2 linked regions of the Oryzias latipes genome follow. The protein of the gene in region 1 interacts with the protein of each later gene in a pairwise test. Links are inferred from orthologs where the notes say so. Each region holds a gene or a part of one and is shown in the gene's direction. Other genes may lie near its edges. The genes, in order: rap1gds1 and pleckstrin homology domain-containing family B member 1.

Region 1 (9,133 bases):
CCTTGTCAGGTCATCTGCTCTGTTTTGTCACAGTTTTGTTTCCCCTCATAGTTTGGTCATGTTTCAGTTTGCTAATTAAATGTTTTAGTTCCAGTCATCAAGCTTGGTCTCCTGCATTTGGGTCCTCCACCACCAGTTCGTGACAGAATGACCTGACCAGCTTGGACCCAGCAGGGGAGTTTTCCATCATGCCCATTCCGTGCCTTGCCAGATGAGTTCCTGCAGCATTGTTCATGCTATGCCCTTCCACATCAAGCCTATCTGTTCCTGAGGGGGATTGCCGGGACCATCTTTCAAGCATCAAGTTTCCTGTGGAGGGTCACCGGGGCCGCTCCTCTTCATGTCTGTTCCTGAGGAGGGTCGCCGGGCCCACACTTCATGTCCCCTGTCCCGGAGGATGGTCACCATTCCCCCTTGGCTGTGTCACCTGGTCCAGAAGAGGGTCACCAGTGCTGCTCCCCTTAATGGTTCCTGTCCCTGGAGAGAGCAATTGGGACTTCTAATCTTCATGCCTGTTCACAGAAGGGGTTCTGATGCCCCTCACTTCCGTCTGGCTGCAGGAACCCAAACCGTTCTGGACTTGTTTTTTCATTTTCTGTTCCTCCAGGTCCCCTCCTCCTAGGGGTTTTTGGGCATCTGGGATCTGCCCTTTTCGGGAGGGGTACTGTAAGGATTCAGTGGTTTGGTTTTCTTTGTCATGTTTTTGGTTTCCTTGTCAGTCACACCTTCAGGTTCATGATCCACAGCTGTCTTCAGTTCAGTTAATTGCCCTCAGCCTATTTAAGTGTCTTGGTTTCTGTTCTTCCTTGTCAGGTCATCTGCTCTGTTTTGTCACAGTTTTGTTTCCCCTCATAGTTTTGTCATGTTTCAGTTTGCTAATTAAATGTTTTAGTTCCAGTCATCAAGCTTGGTCTCCTGCATTTGGGTCCTCCACCACCAGTTTGTGACACCTGCAGTCCATGCTGTGTGATCTTTGCCCTCCAGAAAGACTGGAGAGATCAACTAAAGATGGCATAGACATCCTTCCATCCATTGAGAAGTCATTCTATGTGGATAACGCCTACAAAGTCTCTCTATGGCTGAGTCGGCTGAGAAGCTTGTAGAGGAGATGAGGAAGTGTCTAGCTTCAGGAGGGGTTGAGATCAGGCAGTGGGCAAGTGACATCAGAGCTGTTGTGTTTTTTATCTGCCCTCTTCAGCTCGATCGGAAAACACTGAACTGTGGTTGTCTGAAGAACCCACAGACCCTTAATAACCTGTGTCAATGGCACTGCCCCACAGACCACCTCTGCTACCGCACCAGGCCAAGCAAAGATGAGACTCCAACACTCCATTACATATACAAAGCAGCAGCAGCAGCAGAGAAACACCAGCAGCAGCGTTGGTAAAGTCCACCTCTTTTACTCTGAATGTGATTTTTTTTTTTTGATGTGTAACTCTGGATGGTGTAATGTGTAATCTGGTCTAATGTAATCTTTCAAAATAGTTTCTTTCCGACTGCCCTAAAATGTTAAACATGCATCTTGTTGTATAAATTGTGTTAGTTTTGGGAGCTTTCTTTATATTAATTATTTTTTTTATTATTATTACTAATTCTCTGTTAAACAATTTTAACACATATTGAAGCACTTATGTAGTTTTATGCATTATTTATCATTTCAGTAAGTTCTTTTAACCTTTTTGTGTTAAATGGATGAATGTAGGACCGACCAGACAGTGACAATAAAGATCTATCTGTCCGTCCGTCCGTCTGTCCGTCCGTCCGTCCGTCCTGTTAACTGACTCATTTTACCCATAAAATAAAGAGAATGAACTGCATTTGTTTTATTTACAGGATGACCCACCTATTGAACTGAAGTATCAATATTCAGCTAATACTTAATTATGGTGGTATAATAATTATTAATTATTATTTTATTATTATTTACCAAGGCTGTGTCCCACCAAGGTGGGGTAGCCTAGACAAGGCACACAATTTTAGCTCCCTCTGTCTCTTCCCCAAACCCTCCTCCTTCAGTGCGTGTGTGCGTATGTGCACATAATTATTAATAATAATATTAATAGTATCCACTGATCAGTGTTCTAATTTATTAAACTCCTTCCATGCTTACAGCACAAGGTGCTTGACATAAAATATAAACATGGGTTAAAACAAAAAAGAAATAAAACACCATAAACTACAAACAAAAATCAAAAGATGAATAGTTCTTGTTTGAGAAAGCTCTGTAAATGTTATTTATGATAATTATTATTATTAGGCCTAAAATAATTACTTTTTTAAATCATATTTACATCTGTTGTATATTTTTAATCCTGACTTTTTTTATTGCTCTTTTTTGATAATGTTTTCTATCATTTTTAGTTTTTGTACTCCTGGAACTGCATCTTTTATTGTATTGCATATGTGAGTTTTTTTTAATGATCGGATTTTAAGTCTGTAATAAATCCAATGTGTATATTTATCTAATAGAAGTCTCTCTCTGGCATCCTTCTGCCTCTAGAGACAATGGAGTCTGCACCTGAATTCTAGTTTGTTGTCGGACAGCGATATCTATATAAACTACTGTATGCGCTCACAAGTGTAATGAATAGATATGTTTCCAACTGTGCATAAATATTGGAGTTTATGCATGGACACACACTCAAGAGGCTGTTTTGTGACGCTTATATTGTATTGTTTGCCGAGTGTTTTGGTTATTTTATGCAATACGTTTTCTTGAAATGATTTATAAAGGAACTGACTGTGGAGATGGTTATAAATTGATATTTGTAAGTAAATCTTTTTATCTCTCTGGTATTTTGTGATGACACCAGATTAAAAAATTCTCTCTAACTCCCCCTGCTGGTGATCTGTGACTACTACAAACTTTACCTTTTTTTTTTATTTGCTGCTTTATTTTGAAGGTTGGGCCGGAAGTGATCTCCGGTTGACTGCAGCCGTCAGTCGGAGCCAGTTGTAGCGGAGCCGCTAGCCCGTCCGCCGTTACCGTGGATATGAGAGGAGGTGGGACGCGTTAGCAGCCGCTGGTGTACAGGCCGCGGCGGAGTAGCGTTTGTTTCAGCCGGACTCCACCGTCCGTGACGCCCGCCGGCGCTCCGAGCTAGCTGTCGTGCTAACCTGTTAGCTTCCACGCGCCAGCCTGACCAGCAGAGCGGGAGCCGAACGGCGCGGACTCCTGCGGGTTCGACTCTCGGTTTACGGAACCACCCTCGTCCCCCCGACGAGGGTTCATTCCGCGGAGATGGGTAAGTTGGACGGCTAGCTGGGATGCCGGAGACGGTTAGCTTGAAGAAAAAAACCTAAACGATGGTGGTCAGAAACGAGCCCTGGAGGGCTCAGCGGGCTGGGGGGGGCATGTCGGGGGCTCAGCGGCGGCGGCTGGGCGGGGTGCCTCCCTGCCGCCCGTCCGCGCCTCCTGCAGCATGTTTTCCGGGGACACGGCGGCTGAACTGAAGGCGGCCCGTCCCCGCAGCTGTTATGTAATGTCAGCGGCCTGCAACGCGCAGCTGCTCCCGCTGCAACACTGCGGACGCCCCCCGCTTACTGATGCGGCTCCTCCGCTGTGCATCCTCCGACACGCTGCAGCCCCCCCGCGACAGACGGGCAGTTTATATAAGACCGTCTGTGAGGAAGAGACTGAGGAGGAGGAGGATGGTTTGTTGGCAGCAATAATCGGGTCACTGCAACACTTTGTGGATCCTTATGCAATAATTGCAGGGAGGCTCAGGATTTAGCAGCACACCTGCCATGATGAAGATGATGATATAAACATACACCTGCCATGATGATGATTACGATGATGAAGATGAGGCTCTGAAATAAACATACACCTGACATGATGATGATGATGATGAAGACGAGGCTCTGATATAAACATACACCTGCCATGATGAAGATGATGATGATGATATAAACATATACCTCAGGGCTCCAGACTAACTTTTTCACTAGGAGCACTGTGGCCCCTAACTGAAAATTTTAGGGGCACAACCAGAAAATTTAGGGGCGCATACCGTAAATCAACATTCTAACCAAATCTACAAATTTCCACTGTATTACTAATAAATACTTTAATAATAGATGCAGAAATTACAATGTGCTGTTTCTAATTCAGTGTCACATTTTATTCTTCACTTTTGAAGATGCAACAAGAAGGTAAACTGACATCACCATCGCTGTCATGACAGTACAAATAAGTTAAGAAAACGGATGGATATTTATCTTTGTGACACCAAATAGGTGCAGCCAAGCGGCACAGTAAGTGTGTTTGAGGTCACCCAGGTGAACTCAACGCTGTGCAGATCACCTGGTGTGTGACATATATTTTTGTTTTTGCTCCAACATCACCTGTCAATCATCACAAAAATATCAGGAGAAAGGGGTGGGAGCAAGGGGCAAACCTACCCGGACACAGCTGGAAACTGAACTGACTGAAAGCTGCCCTACAGACTACAAAACAATGCATTATGGGACATGTGTCCTGATGGTTTTTGTAGTGGAGTGATTAATTAAAATAATTTAAAATACCAATTCATTAAAAAGGCTACATACATCACAAAACATTAAAATAATCATAAAATATATAATAACACAGATCATACTAAGGGGGAGAAGAATATTAAAACTAAATTGAATGTTAAGGACAACTCCAACTTCCTGTTCTCCTTCAGTCTTGCTGCAGATTCGCTTTCATCTCACAGCCCCCCCGCCCCCCAAACGATCCAGGTGAGGTGTCGGTTCAACTCAAACACGTCTATCGTTGCATTTTCCCCACGTATTTTCAGTGTGTCTAAAACTAATGTTGTTTTTGCTGGAGCGTGTTTAAAGTTCAAGCCCCGTTAGCTGTCACGCATGTAGGTGTGGGACATTTATTCTCCTCAGCTGACCCGACTCCCGCGGGACGGGAGCGGTGTGCTGCCGTAACGGCCGTGCATAACCGTTTGATGCGCCGCCGTAACCGTAACCGAAACACTAAACCTTCCTCCAGGTCTGTGCGGCCCAGAGAAAAGTTCAGCACTGACTGCATGTATTTAGAAAATTACAAGCGAATAAATACGTTCTAAAGGAAAGTAAGGAACTCCTTAATGTGGTCCGGGGAGGGAGGGGGCTGTCAGGTTTCCTGCTTTCAAGCCCGGTCATTGCCACGCCCCCAAGAGTCATATACCCCACTGTGATTGGTTGCTTTGTCAGCTCCGCGCACGACAATGAAAAAGTGTCATTCATACAAACTGGCGGGCTGCAGTAACATTAAACCTTCATGTTAAGTATCATCAAAATAGATCAATCAAAATATCATCTTGGGGGCCGCAAATAGCCTGCGGGCCGCGAGTTTGAGACCCCTGCTGTACACTCTGGCACTGGTACACTAGCCGCAGGTCGGAAGAACGAATCAATAGTTCGCTTGCTCATAGTTCAGACGCACATATCAGGTTGTGATATTTGTCTCCGTTTCCTTCCCACAGATGTTTACGAGCACTCTATCTCTAGGCCCCTCCCCCTCCACGCATTTTAGCCACTCACAGTGGCTTTCCCTATTCTTCTCACACGCAGTGGCCGCCTCACAGATGGGCATCACTCGAGAGTGTACGTGCTCGCGTTTCATGAGTATGTGCACGAGTGTGTGTGTCTGCCTGCGTGCGTGTGGGCTTGCGTCTCATTGATTATTTCATCGATCATTGACGTGCCCCTTCCACGTTTAATGTATAAAAAAATACGGAGGGTGGGGGAGGCAAATTTACTGGTCGCACATGTGCGACTGGATGTAAAATTCAGTCGCACACTCTCAAATTTTGGTCGCAAAATGCGACCAATTGCTCGCAGTCTGGAGCCCTGCACCTGCCATGATGACGATTACGATGATGAAGATGAGGCTGTGATATAAATATATACCTGCCATGATGAAGATGAGCCTCTGACATTAACCTACATCTGACTGCATCTACAGCGACGCTTCCCGCAGTAGGAAACGTTTCCGAGGGAGATCATGCGTGTGTTTTTCTAGGGTCGTATATTTCTCTCCGTCACATGACTCTGTCCTCATCTTCATACAGGCTCCACCAACCAAAGATTGAATAACTTTATGGTGGAAACGTTACATTCTTCTACCTAAAGAGATGCAATCTAGAGATTTATAATTTATTTGGGACTATAAGTAAAAATGTCTTTTAACAGATAAACTCTTTGTAATCTTTATTTTAATCAACAAAACAGCTTCAAACATTCAAACCTGATTTTTTGGGTCTTTTAGACCGTTTTGCTCTTTGTGTTAAAATAAAGTGTATTTCTTCACGTGTTGTTGGTCAGTGCTGTGAAAACATGTTTTTAATGTTTCCTGAACACACAACCCTCCCTGTGGTTCACCTTCAGCCAATTGGAATTGACCCGACTTGGTAAAAGGAAGCCTGTGATTGGATGTCTTTGTGTTTACATCACACGTCCATAAAAAGACGGATAGCGTTTACCAGAAACTGATCATTTATTTCCTTCTTACCAACACAACCTTCTGCATATCTTTGGTTTCAACCTAGGGCTGCACGATATAAGGAAAACTTGTGACATTAGTGATCAATATTGCAATGACAATATAACTTACGGTACAGGAACAAATAGTAAAACAATCAAAAACATAATTTCCCTTTCATTTTAAAAATCATACTCAAATGACCATTGTCTACATAGTAGGTGAACATCTAACACAATAGGGCTCCATCCGATTGGTCAACACGTGAAGGTGTCCATCCCATTGGTCAAATGCATATAGGATATATTTGATTGGTTAAATACTTGAAGCTGCCATAAGATTGTTTTAGCCCGTTTAAGGGAACCATTTATTTCAATTTTCGCCGTCTTTTGCGACATGCATATTGCACAGCTTGATATCGCGATAATGATAAATTTGCGATTTATTGTGCCGGCCTATTTCAACCGATTCCACTGTTACTGTCAGAACTGGCCGCCGTGGTGCTGAGGTAAGGTGGTCGACCTCTGATCGATACATGGTAGTTTTGGTTCCCGCCTTGCCCACCCATGGGATGAAGTGTCGGTTGGTAGGACGCTGAACCCCACATTGCTCCTGGTGGTTATAGGTCGGTGCCAGTGTTGGTCAACCAAGGTACTAAAGTGCTATAAAAGGATCTGCCTTTGACCATACCTAGATCCATTTTCCTATGCGTGTCTGTGTCCTTTACATCTCCAATTTTTTCTTAGTCTCTTAACAAAGAGTGGACTAAGTGTTCCAACAATCCACATATTTCAGCTGAACCTGTCACCCATTTTTATTTATTTATTTATTTGGAGCCCCATTAGCTTCCACAAAGTGGTCGCTAGTCTTCCTGGGGTCCATACGCAAAAAATACATACATTTTACCAATTTCAAAAAAAACAAAACTGATTTCACAAAATACAGTGACTAATTCATCATATTTACCTTAAAATCTTCACATGTTAAAATAAGTTAAAACAATTTCATTTTTATACCAGCATATCAAAATACATAGCAACATATCGACATCAACAATAATACATTTCATAACAGCAAATCATTCAAATTCAAATGCTAGCCTTAGACCGCTTTATGATAGAGGAAACAGGCAAAGTCTGACACTGACACATTATACAAAACTAAAAATGACGGTCATTGGTCCCAAAGCTCATGGTAGACAAACATCCCAACAAGCACACATGGAAGTCTCATGTGTTGTTGAATGTTGTAGTCCGTTCTTGGAGCTTGGAAGTTACCCAGAGTCCATCATCCACTGTCTCTCTCCAGTTTGAATAATTGATGTAAAATCTCAGATTCAATTAAGAATCTCCACCTCCAATGATAGTTTCTGTAGAAGTGCATTACAGCTTCCAGTAATTACTGAGAAACAAATGACTTTCGATTAGATCAAAGCTACCTTAAGGAGAGGAAAGGGATCCGCTTTAGTTCTAGAACAAAGACGATGAGCCACAGTTTTGCTGCTAAATGTATTTGGGTAAGCGGGAAAGGCTGGTCCCTGCAGCCATCACTTCCTGTTCATGGTCATGGAGAGGCTGGAAACCACCCAGCTACAGCCCATCACAGACACACAACCAAACCCACAGACACACAACCAAACCCACAGACACACAACCAAACACAGACACACAACCACACACACATGTACAAACGCCAGTCAAGCGTGTTTTTGGACTCTGGGAGGAAGCTGGAGAAAACCCACACATGAACGTGAAGAACACGCAAATTCCAGAGGCTAGAGCGCTAACCACCACACCGAGTCAAGCAAGGAACCAAGGATTCTCCATGTATTTCAATGGAGGGAGAAATCCTGGAATATCTTGAAAAGTTCAAAGGATTTGAAGGACCAAAAGTCATAGCTGGAAAAAGCTGAAAGAGCTGAACATTTGAATAGTTGGATGTTTAGAATAGATGAAACATTGCAGGAGGAGTTAAGCAGCAAAAAATGGAGGAAGATACTAGAATAAAGAAAGAGAAACAGGAAAACGAAGGTTGAATACTTTATTGTATTCTTCCCACTAGAATAAACGGCGTTCTTATAGGTAGGATGGCTCAGACTTCATGGGTCCCGCAGCAGACTGGGGTAATTAGAAAAACCATGACAGTGCGGTCCGGTTTACGTGGTGATAATGTGAAGCCTCACTCGTGTTTGCAGACAACCTGACTGAAGCCCTGCAGAAGCTGAAGCTGGCGTCCGGCGACGGCACCGCCCACGGCGTGGACATCTGCCTGGACTGTCTACTGAAAGCGCTCGCCAGCAGCAGTGAGTACAGAACGCTCTTTCGGGTCAGCCAGAAATCTTTGGGCCAGTTTTTGACGTTGAGAGCAGCCACTTCAGAACATGTGATCTAAAGGAAAAAATGGCCGCAGTGCCACAGGTCCAAACGATTGGCAGAACACGTGCAGAACCGCATGACCTGAAAAAGGTTTAGGTGGGAAAAAGAAACCCAAAGTGTGTTGATGTAATTCTTTGGGTCATTCTCAGACAGATCCACGTCAACAACCACCAGATAAAACAAAAGTATAATTATTGATTCTGCATGAAATGTGAGCCGGCGGGTTTGGAAAGTTCTGGTCTGAAAGCAGAGTTCCGGTTCTGGTGCGATCTTCTTAACTGGCCTTTTTTCTCCTGCA
Region 2 (8,619 bases), on another chromosome or scaffold:
ATTTAAACCCAGACATTTACATTTTAACCCTTGTGCTATCCTAGGCACTTAAACATTGGGAGTTGGGTCATCTAGACCCACTAGACAGTGCTCTGAACCTTTTTTCTTCAATGATTTGTGATCTTCACTGGTGTCCATGGATTACATGAAATCTTTCCACCTTTATCCACCTTTGTCATGGTAGGGAGAACACGTCAAAGTAAGGGTGGGGTCATCTAAGATAGCACAAGGGTCAACACTTCCTCCACGTATTATTCTTTTTCCTCCCCCATGTTAAATGTCAACTTTGTGCCACGTCTGGCAAACCAAAGAATCCGTTTCCAGATCTCTATAAACGATATTCATTTTTAAATTATTTTAAACCTAAAGAAGAAAAAAGTAAAAATCATTTTTTTACTTAAAAACTATATATAGTATAATTACATTATACAAATATTAATGGGGATGATATGATTTATCATAAAGTTCCTAACATGAAATATTTCAAAAACAACATTGAAGGAATTTGTAAAACCTGCAAAGTTATTCTAATGGTAAAGGAAACAAAAAGAAAAGAAAAGCAAAGGTACTAAACTTAAATCAGTTTCTAAATAGTTTAATCCCTAAAAAATAAAGTTTTTCATTACCGTGAAGGGGGGGGGGGGGGTTCTAAGGGCAGGGATGTCAGTTTAGTTTAGTTTGTTTAATTAAAGTTGTGGTATTATCCTATTAAATTCTATGCATTTATGAACCTTTTTGATTTTATGTTTAGTTTACAATTACTGGTACAAAATCCACTGAGACGACTGTTGTGAATTTGGGCTATATAAATAATTGAATTGAATTAACTAAGGTTTAAGGCCCCAAACATCAACATCCCTAAAGTGCTTTGTTAAAAAAGGTCATTGGAAGGATCTAAATTAATCTCCTTTGTCACTTGCATGTTCGAAATAAATGAATGTTTTTTTAAACGTAAAACCAAAGCATCTGGATTTTTCACTTGTAAAACACATTTCATCACTGAGCCTTGTGTGTTTTTTTGTAAGTCTGAGTCCATCTCAGCAGTTCAGTAGGACACAGATGAGCTTGTCCTGATGACAAAACAGCCACTAGAGGGCAGCAGAGAGCACACAGCCTCTCAGTTGGCTGAACTTCATCTCAATATAAAGAAAAATTAGGAAGAAAAAAATCAAATATGTCAGATTTTTTTTTGGGGGCAAAAACAAGTTAAACCAAAATGGTTCATAGATCTGAAATCCTAATACAGACTTAAACTTTGTTATAGAAGATATTTAAAAAAACAGTCAATTATGGGTTATAACTCAAATTTATTTAAGAAGTATATATTTTAAGTATATAAAAACAGATGTTACCTAACTTTTTGTCTTAAAAAAAACAAAAAGGCGGCTGTATTTTGGTAACTCGCAGCCTAATATTCTAACAAATGTAGGTCACCTTTAAAGATTTGTCCATCTGACCTTCATGACTATCAGTAATGCTATAAAAAATTTTTTTTTGAAATTTGACTCAAAAGAGCATATATTTTGGAAAATAAAAGGCGTTCCTGTTATGAAACCTTAGCCTTTATAATCCTTTTATTTGTCCTGGCCCATGTGTGTAAGTGGCTTACAAAAGGATCATCAGTGTGAAGGAACTGTTGGAGAAACATTCAAGAGAAAGTCTGTCACAAGAAACTGTGAGCTGAAGAAAGTACTGGAGGCTTCTAATGCAAGCCTGTGAAAGCAAAAACACTACAGATGCACGAAAGAGAGATCCTACCCTCCCAGTTTCCAGCTCCTACAGCCCCTGACGTTGCGCTGCATCTGCTCTGTAGCTGCGGTGCTGAAACGCTGGAAGCTCAACTGGTGTGACCTCTGGATCGATGGGAGTCTGTGCTTCTACAAGACTGACAGCAGGCGGGATCTGGAGCTGCGCGTCAGCCTCAAGATGAAATGTATCGACGTCCGGTCTGGCCTGGAGTGTGGAGGTAAGGCATGGGGACTGGACTGTCAGGCACTTACAGCCTGGCATGAATGATTTAGTGCCGTTCTGTGCAATAAACCTGACATGAGCTCTGCTTTCACCAGGCCTGGAAATGAAAACTACTCCAGTTTTTCATTTGTTATGGGGTAATTGTGAGAACATTTGAGCAGTTTTTGATTGTATTTAATCAAGAGGCCACTTTATTTTTGAATAATACCATGACTTAAAGGGGGTCTCATCCAGACGAACGTTTTTCTATCGTTTCGCACCCTAACTCACCTATCTTACAAGAATTGATCGCAATAAAGGCCAATTCCAAGGCCAAAAAATTGTGCTTTGGGTATTTTTACCACGTTCTTGGGATATTTTTCTAATGGTGGCAGATACATACAAAGAAAACCGACCTCAAAAACTGCATTTTTAAAAAAAATTCAAATAGTTGTGAATCAGGAGCCGATGGAAAAAAAATGCAGTGTAAAAGAAAAAAAATGTGATGTAGCTATATGCTGAGCGGGCCACAAACTCCCTGCTCCAAGCTCTCAGGAACTGGGAGGGGAATGGGGGGCGGGCATTACCCTGCACCAATGGTCCCGCCTACAAGTCAAAGGCAAATTGCAAATGAACTCCTGCTGCTCTGTTCTTGAAAAGCAAATTTTTTTAGCTGAAAACAGCACAATCACAATTAAAAGACCAGTGGAAACAGATTTAAAATAAGTCAAAAGATGATCAGAGTGGGACTTCAACTGTCGGATTTAAATTATCTAAACTTGGGATTAAAGAAAAGAAGAGCACAATTTCTGTACAACAAGTTGGGGAAAAAAAGCAACAAAAGCTGAATCTGAAATGTCAAAACCTCCCTATAAATGTTCTGACAGGTAACTTTGACTGCTGCTGCTCTGCAGAAAAGCAACCAAACGGATCTCTGTAGAACTCTGAACATGGAGCAGGTACCTGAACAAGGTCTGTATTTTTTTTCTGTCCGTAGGGGTGAATCCACCAGAGAGCAGTCCCAGGGAGAATCTGATGGTGCTTCACTTCAGAGACGGTTCAACGCTCAACCTGTGTGCCAACAGTGAAGACGAGTCTCTGTAGGCGCCTCACCCCGCCGGCTCTGCCCTTCCTCTTGGCCGTTCATCCGTCCATCCCTAACACCTCTACGTTTCTCTTTCAGAGCGTGGAAACTGACGATGCTGGACACCAGGAGAAACCCGGTGAGGCCTCCGTTCATGTTTTCTCAGAAGCAGGAGTGTGATCCTCCCAGTGCTAACAGGAGCACTTTGTTTCAGGTGTTCCAGTACGACCCGTATGACGACTCCTACCAGGCCGTTCCTCTCAACAGCTACCACACCGTCTACATAACTCCAGGAGCAGGTCCAGGTACGCCGCCCTCCATGCAGAATAGTACACAGGCAATGGAGAAATACTTCATGGAGGCCATGCAGACGTTTGAAACACAGAAGTCAAAGAAAAGCATCACTGGTGACGAGCAGCAATGTGCAAACATTTCTACAGCGATGGTAGGGTTACGCAAAAGAAGGAAACGAGTCTCCGGGGTCTTCAGGTTAGGGTTGAACATCAACAAGTGTCTCAGAACCATCCCCAAGCTGATGGAGCCAAAAAAAAAAAAAAAAAAAATGGGGGAAGCAGCTTTCTGATGAACCCAGGTGTTCACCAACTCTGTATTAAAGTCTCAAAATTCAGATAAAGTTCTGATTCGGTGTTTACCTAATGTCCTCCATTTATGGTGTACAGATTTTGCGTCGTTGAAGGTTTTAAAAAAAAAAAAAAAAAGCTGCAAGCGGCTTTGTATGGCCCAAAAGAGCCCCCCTCCTGCACTGGATGAGCCGCTGCTGCACTCTCTCCTGGTCATTTATCATGAAAAATGCACTTTTCTTCAGAAGGGCTTCTCTTTTGATGGTAATATCTCGATAGCAGCCATGTAATGTTTTGTTTGCCTCGGGGTGACGAACACTTTTATGTAATTTTTAGAAGAATAAGTAAAAGTACATTTTTTTTTTAACCACACCCACAGTCCTAATATGTTCATATTGTAATTTTTTGTTCAACTTGAACCAAGAATTCATATCGCCTATAATTGTACCCCCCCCTTCCCCCAACCTAGCCTCTTACTGATGCTTAAGGAGTAAAGAGGTGATCGATTGAAGCCTCCTTAGGATCTGATGGGTTCGGTTTAATGTCTGACGCGCTTATAAAATACGCCACAGTCCATTCCGTTATTTTTACGTGTTTATTTACATTTACAGAAATAAATCAGAGGGAGGAAATAATAAGTTGACTTTGTGTGAATTGGGAAAAATGGGTAGAGAAAGCAAAGAAAGCAGTGGTGTAAGTAAAAAAATAAAAAAAATAGTGGTGAACAGAAATAAACAGCCAAGGCTCTCCTTCTCCAGTGCAAATGAGCGGGTGGTTTTCTAACCTTTCATTCCGGTGTTGTCAATTACCAAAATCAGAAAAAGAAAAAAGGTATAACATGCAACACTACTAGGAAAACAAACGGGGAAAGAAACTTATACTTCATTACCTATTTTTTGTGCAAAAAAAAAAAAAAAGTGAAAAGTTGCCAAATTTCACATCTTACCACTAAAGGTCCTGTGGCCATCCCATAATAATTTCAAAACTTCCTTTGAATATTCCCGACACATGTGTTTTGGTTTCGTTTGTAGAATTTTGATAAAATTTTTTGAGCCTTGTAAGAATTTATGGAGCCCCTAAAGGGACATGGACATTAAAAAGAACAAACAAGTAAATTAATAAAAACGTCCCTTTAGGAGCTCCATAGATTACCTCCCGCTGTGATGTCACTATGCCGTAATTCCTTTTTATCAAGTACTAGGTTAACTTTGAATAGTTTTTGAGTGACATTTTTGTTCAAACATGGAGTAAGAAAGAATAATTTAAATAGAAAAATAAACAAATCTGGAGCAGGACGGTGAAGGGCTAAAAATAAGTGTAAAATTCCTCACTTTTGTCATCAAAGTGCCAGACGTTTGTTGGTTAGAATAAATTGAAGAGCCACATTCAGTCCTGCTTTTCTTTTTAAATCAAGGAACTCACCAGGTGGTGGTTCAGAGGGATCCATTTGATGGAGTTGTGGAGAGCGTGGCCCTGGGTCTGCTAGCGGGCGTGGCAGCAGGGGCCGCCATGCGATCCTTCCTCTGGATGCCCCTCTTCTTCTGCTGAGAGGTTCGGCCCCCCCACGCCAAACCTGTAGACCTCGTTCACGTCACCTGACATCGCAGACTCACTTGGAGGATCCCGATTACCTCTAAATCCAAAGCAGCTGTTTGCGGCCTCTTTCTGCTTGTACATATCTGACATCATCACTTGTAAAGCCTGAATTTTTCAGTGACATTTTGCACATTATGAGCTGAAGAATCAGTGTAGTTTGCATTTTTGTTAATCAGTACACTAGAAGTTGCTGAAATAAAGCATAACTTTGCTTCCTCCATGAAAAAAAAACAAAAGTCTTATTCTGCTTGGACACAATCCAAAGGCGGCTGCATCCTTTCAGCTGATTGGCTGGAGCCTCTGGTGTGACGCGACCTTCGGCATGAAAACCTGCGAATGAATGGTGCCGCACGAATTTAACACGGAGCACTCCAGAAGAAAAAACACAAGCTCTACCTTCACATGAGGTCGTTTTGTAGAATTATTTTCAGGGTCAAACAGCGAAGCTGGAGCGACTCCATCACCATGACAACGGAAAACTCCACATGCAGAGGATGAACACAGAGCAACACTTTGTTTAGAAAATGCTTCATTCTGGATTTTAGAACGGCGCAGAACTGCAATCCTGCATCTTCAACGGCATAAAATACGATCTTTTTCAAACAGCCTTTGTGATTTTAAGCTTAAAAAGCCACAAACAAAATGTTCAGAGCTTTAAGTACAGAACAAAGCAAAACTAAATGTGTCGAAACCCTCCGGACTCTGAACGTTTGTCAGATCCTCTTAGGATTCACGGAGCCAGCTGGTCTCTGCTGGAAGAATCTCTGGTCCGAACCACACGGGGTGAAGCCGCTTCTGCGTGGCTCGACGTTCATCCGTCTTTACTCCAGGCGCTAAAAACACGTCTGCAGATGAAGATCTGCTTCCACACACATTAAGCTGCTTCGTCTCGTTGAATTTAACATCAAATCGCTGCGTTGAACAGCTGAACTTCTGGATTATTTTCATCTCCTCAAAGAAAGTTGGAAATTTTAGACGTTTATTTAGAATTTTACAAAGTTTGAACACAGATTGTACATTTCCTATGATCATTATTTAACCCAAAAAGCAGCTTCCAACTCAATGTTGAGTCGTCCTCCTATGATGCTTTGATTTTATTGGTGAAAAATGAAAACAAATGGCGACGTGCAAACATTTTATAACAGGTATGTAAGATCCGTTTGTGGTTGTGATCCGTATAAAAGTGCATTAATAATACGTGGTGGCAAATCTGACTTTCAGACAAAAGCTGGAGGGTTCTGCATGTCTGACGGAACGGTTCCCGATCGAGACACCGTCAGCAGAATCTGGTCTGAATAGACATTTAAAGAACGTTTCGTTTCATTTAGGGACCACAGGCAGAACCAGAGGCGTATAGTTGGATGTTTAATTATCTGCAGTTTAGAGCTTTTTGCTTTAGGGAAAAAAAAAATATCAAATGTTCACTTTGTTAGCCAGTCTGGGAGGCAGAGTGCAAAGTTTGGCCAAAAAAAAAGAAAAAAATTAAAGAAGAAAGCAAGTGTTACATCTCCTCTTCAGCACGGTGGTGAAAGTGTTATCATTTGGGGTTTTTTCTGCAGTAGAGAGGTCAGTCAGTTAATTTTTCCCCCCTGCAAATTAAAAACTGGCTTTGCGATGAGACGAGCACATGGAAAAATCTGCAAAGCGAAATGACTCGAACAAATTCAGGCCCTCGGGATGAACAGAAGAAAGCTGAAGGCAGACGAACGGCTGGAATGAAAAGTGCTGCCGTTTACCCGAGCTTTCATTTTCCATCCTGCTATTATACGACTCTGACCCCGCCCCTCATAGAAGGAAACATGGCAAACATGAACTCTCAGACCCGCCTTTACGAGCGTAGCGCATTGTCTCTGTGAATGGCGTTCATCGCTGACTAGCCCCGCCTCCTTTTACTCGTCTTTGCGTCCGTTCTGCGTATGTCCGCTGGCGTGCTCTTTCGTCTTCCCCCGGCCGCTCAGCTTCCCTTCTGCCTGGAGTCTACGGACCACTTCCAGAGGACCCTTCCCCATCAGCGCCGACGGGTGCCTGTAGGAGCCCCCCAGGCGGTCCCACAGCGTGAAGTACTGCCCGTAGTTGTAGTCGAAGAAGAGGTGATGGTCGGTGTGGTGGGCGGAGCCGTTGATGACGCTCGTGAGGGTGTCGGGGACGCGGTAGTCGCCGTCGTGGATGGAGATGGTCCAGATGTTGACGAAGACGTAAAGGAGCAGGTAGAGAACCTTGTGGAGGGGGAAGAGGAAGGGGTAGATGTGGTAGGGCAGCCCCTGCAGGAAGCCGTCCACCGGGTGGAAGGCGTGGCTGGCGAAAGGGGTGGGGATCTTCCAGATGTGGTGCGGTTTGTGGAAAAGCTGATGGAAGACGAGTGGACAAAAAAACAACACATCCGTTCATTCAAAAGACGTCAGCAGCCTCAAAGAAAAGCAGAGGAAGACAGATTTTTGTTCACCTGAAAAATGTAAATGCTACAATAATTGACCGTTTAAGACATCAAGAGGCTGCAAACAATTTTTAGGTCTTTGACCCCTAAAGAAAAAGTTAATTTAGCATCAGAAGAATAAAAAAATTAAGGCTTTATTTTTCATTAGGGGGATCGGTTTTGAGTAAAACCTTCAGGAGTTTTAACTCTTAACCAGAAGGAGCTGCATTTCCAGAAGAAGATGCAGGGATGAATAGTTCTGAATAAAAATGAAACTTTAAAGGGAAGAATTGGCAAAAAACAATTATGTCTTTTCTTATGTTTAAGATTGAACATATTTGAGTCCTTCTCAAATTTAAGTAATTATTCTAGATTTGTAAAACTTTATGAACTTTAGTGATTCTTAATAGAAAAACCGAAATATCTTCAGCTGTAGGTAAAATCCACAAAACCAAGAGAACAGAGTAGGAAATACTTGCATATTCTATATTCAACATTAATTCTTTTATACGTAACAACAGTAATGTTGTGAGAATTTAAGGAAATACTTTGATGAAATTAATAAACTTCCCAAAAAAGCATTTCATAGAAATAAGTGAGTTTTTTGGGACTCTTTGAGTGCACTATTTAAAATTGGAATTTGTGGACTTCTGGTCATTTAAGAGTGTTGGAAAGTTTGCTTTGTGTCTGTGCGGCACTATGTAGCGCCCCGAGTTTTAAAAGCAATTGGGACACCATGCTCACTATTTTTGTTTTTTAAAGGGCGCATATGACTACAAAGCTAAAATCTCATAAATATGAGCGTTTCCGACGATTATTTAAGGGTCCACTGTCTTCTGAAGATAAAAATATTGATGGTTTATTAAAAAAAAAACATTTAAATACATTTGTTTTGGCAAAAATTGTTCCGACGCAATGTATTGTGGTCTATATTCGCCGTACTAGTGAGCATAGATGCACACTGGTTTGTTGCAGAGACTTCTGGGATATTTCTA

The links.
Region 2: the proteins of rap1gds1 (region 1) and pleckstrin homology domain-containing family B member 1 interact in binary tests that used the Homo sapiens proteins (3 or more experiments, as listed by UniProt). The two-hybrid records come from large-scale screens. The link is inferred for Oryzias latipes from reciprocal best matches to the Homo sapiens genes RAP1GDS1 and PLEKHB1.

The regions. Positions count from the first base shown.
Region 1 is NC_019876.2:29,303,500-29,312,632, reverse strand, and holds the start of rap1gds1 (rap1 GTPase-GDP dissociation stimulator 1), read left to right. Parts: upstream 1-2,916; 5' UTR 2,917-3,241; coding exon 3,242-3,245; intron 3,246-8,654; coding exon 8,655-8,762; intron 8,763-9,133. UniProt on the Homo sapiens protein: Acts as a GEF (guanine nucleotide exchange factor) for the Rho family of small GTP-binding proteins (G proteins) that stimulates the dissociation of GDP to enable subsequent binding of GTP.
Region 2 is NC_019872.2:26,516,130-26,524,748, reverse strand, and holds the end of pleckstrin homology domain-containing family B member 1, read left to right. Parts: intron 1-1,813; coding exon 1,814-1,966; intron 1,967-2,947; coding exon 2,948-3,050; intron 3,051-3,133; coding exon 3,134-3,173; intron 3,174-3,248; coding exon 3,249-3,339; intron 3,340-5,029; coding exon 5,030-5,163; 3' UTR 5,164-5,810; downstream 5,811-8,619. Other genes in the region: sc5d (lathosterol oxidase), read right to left, coding at 7,101-7,556.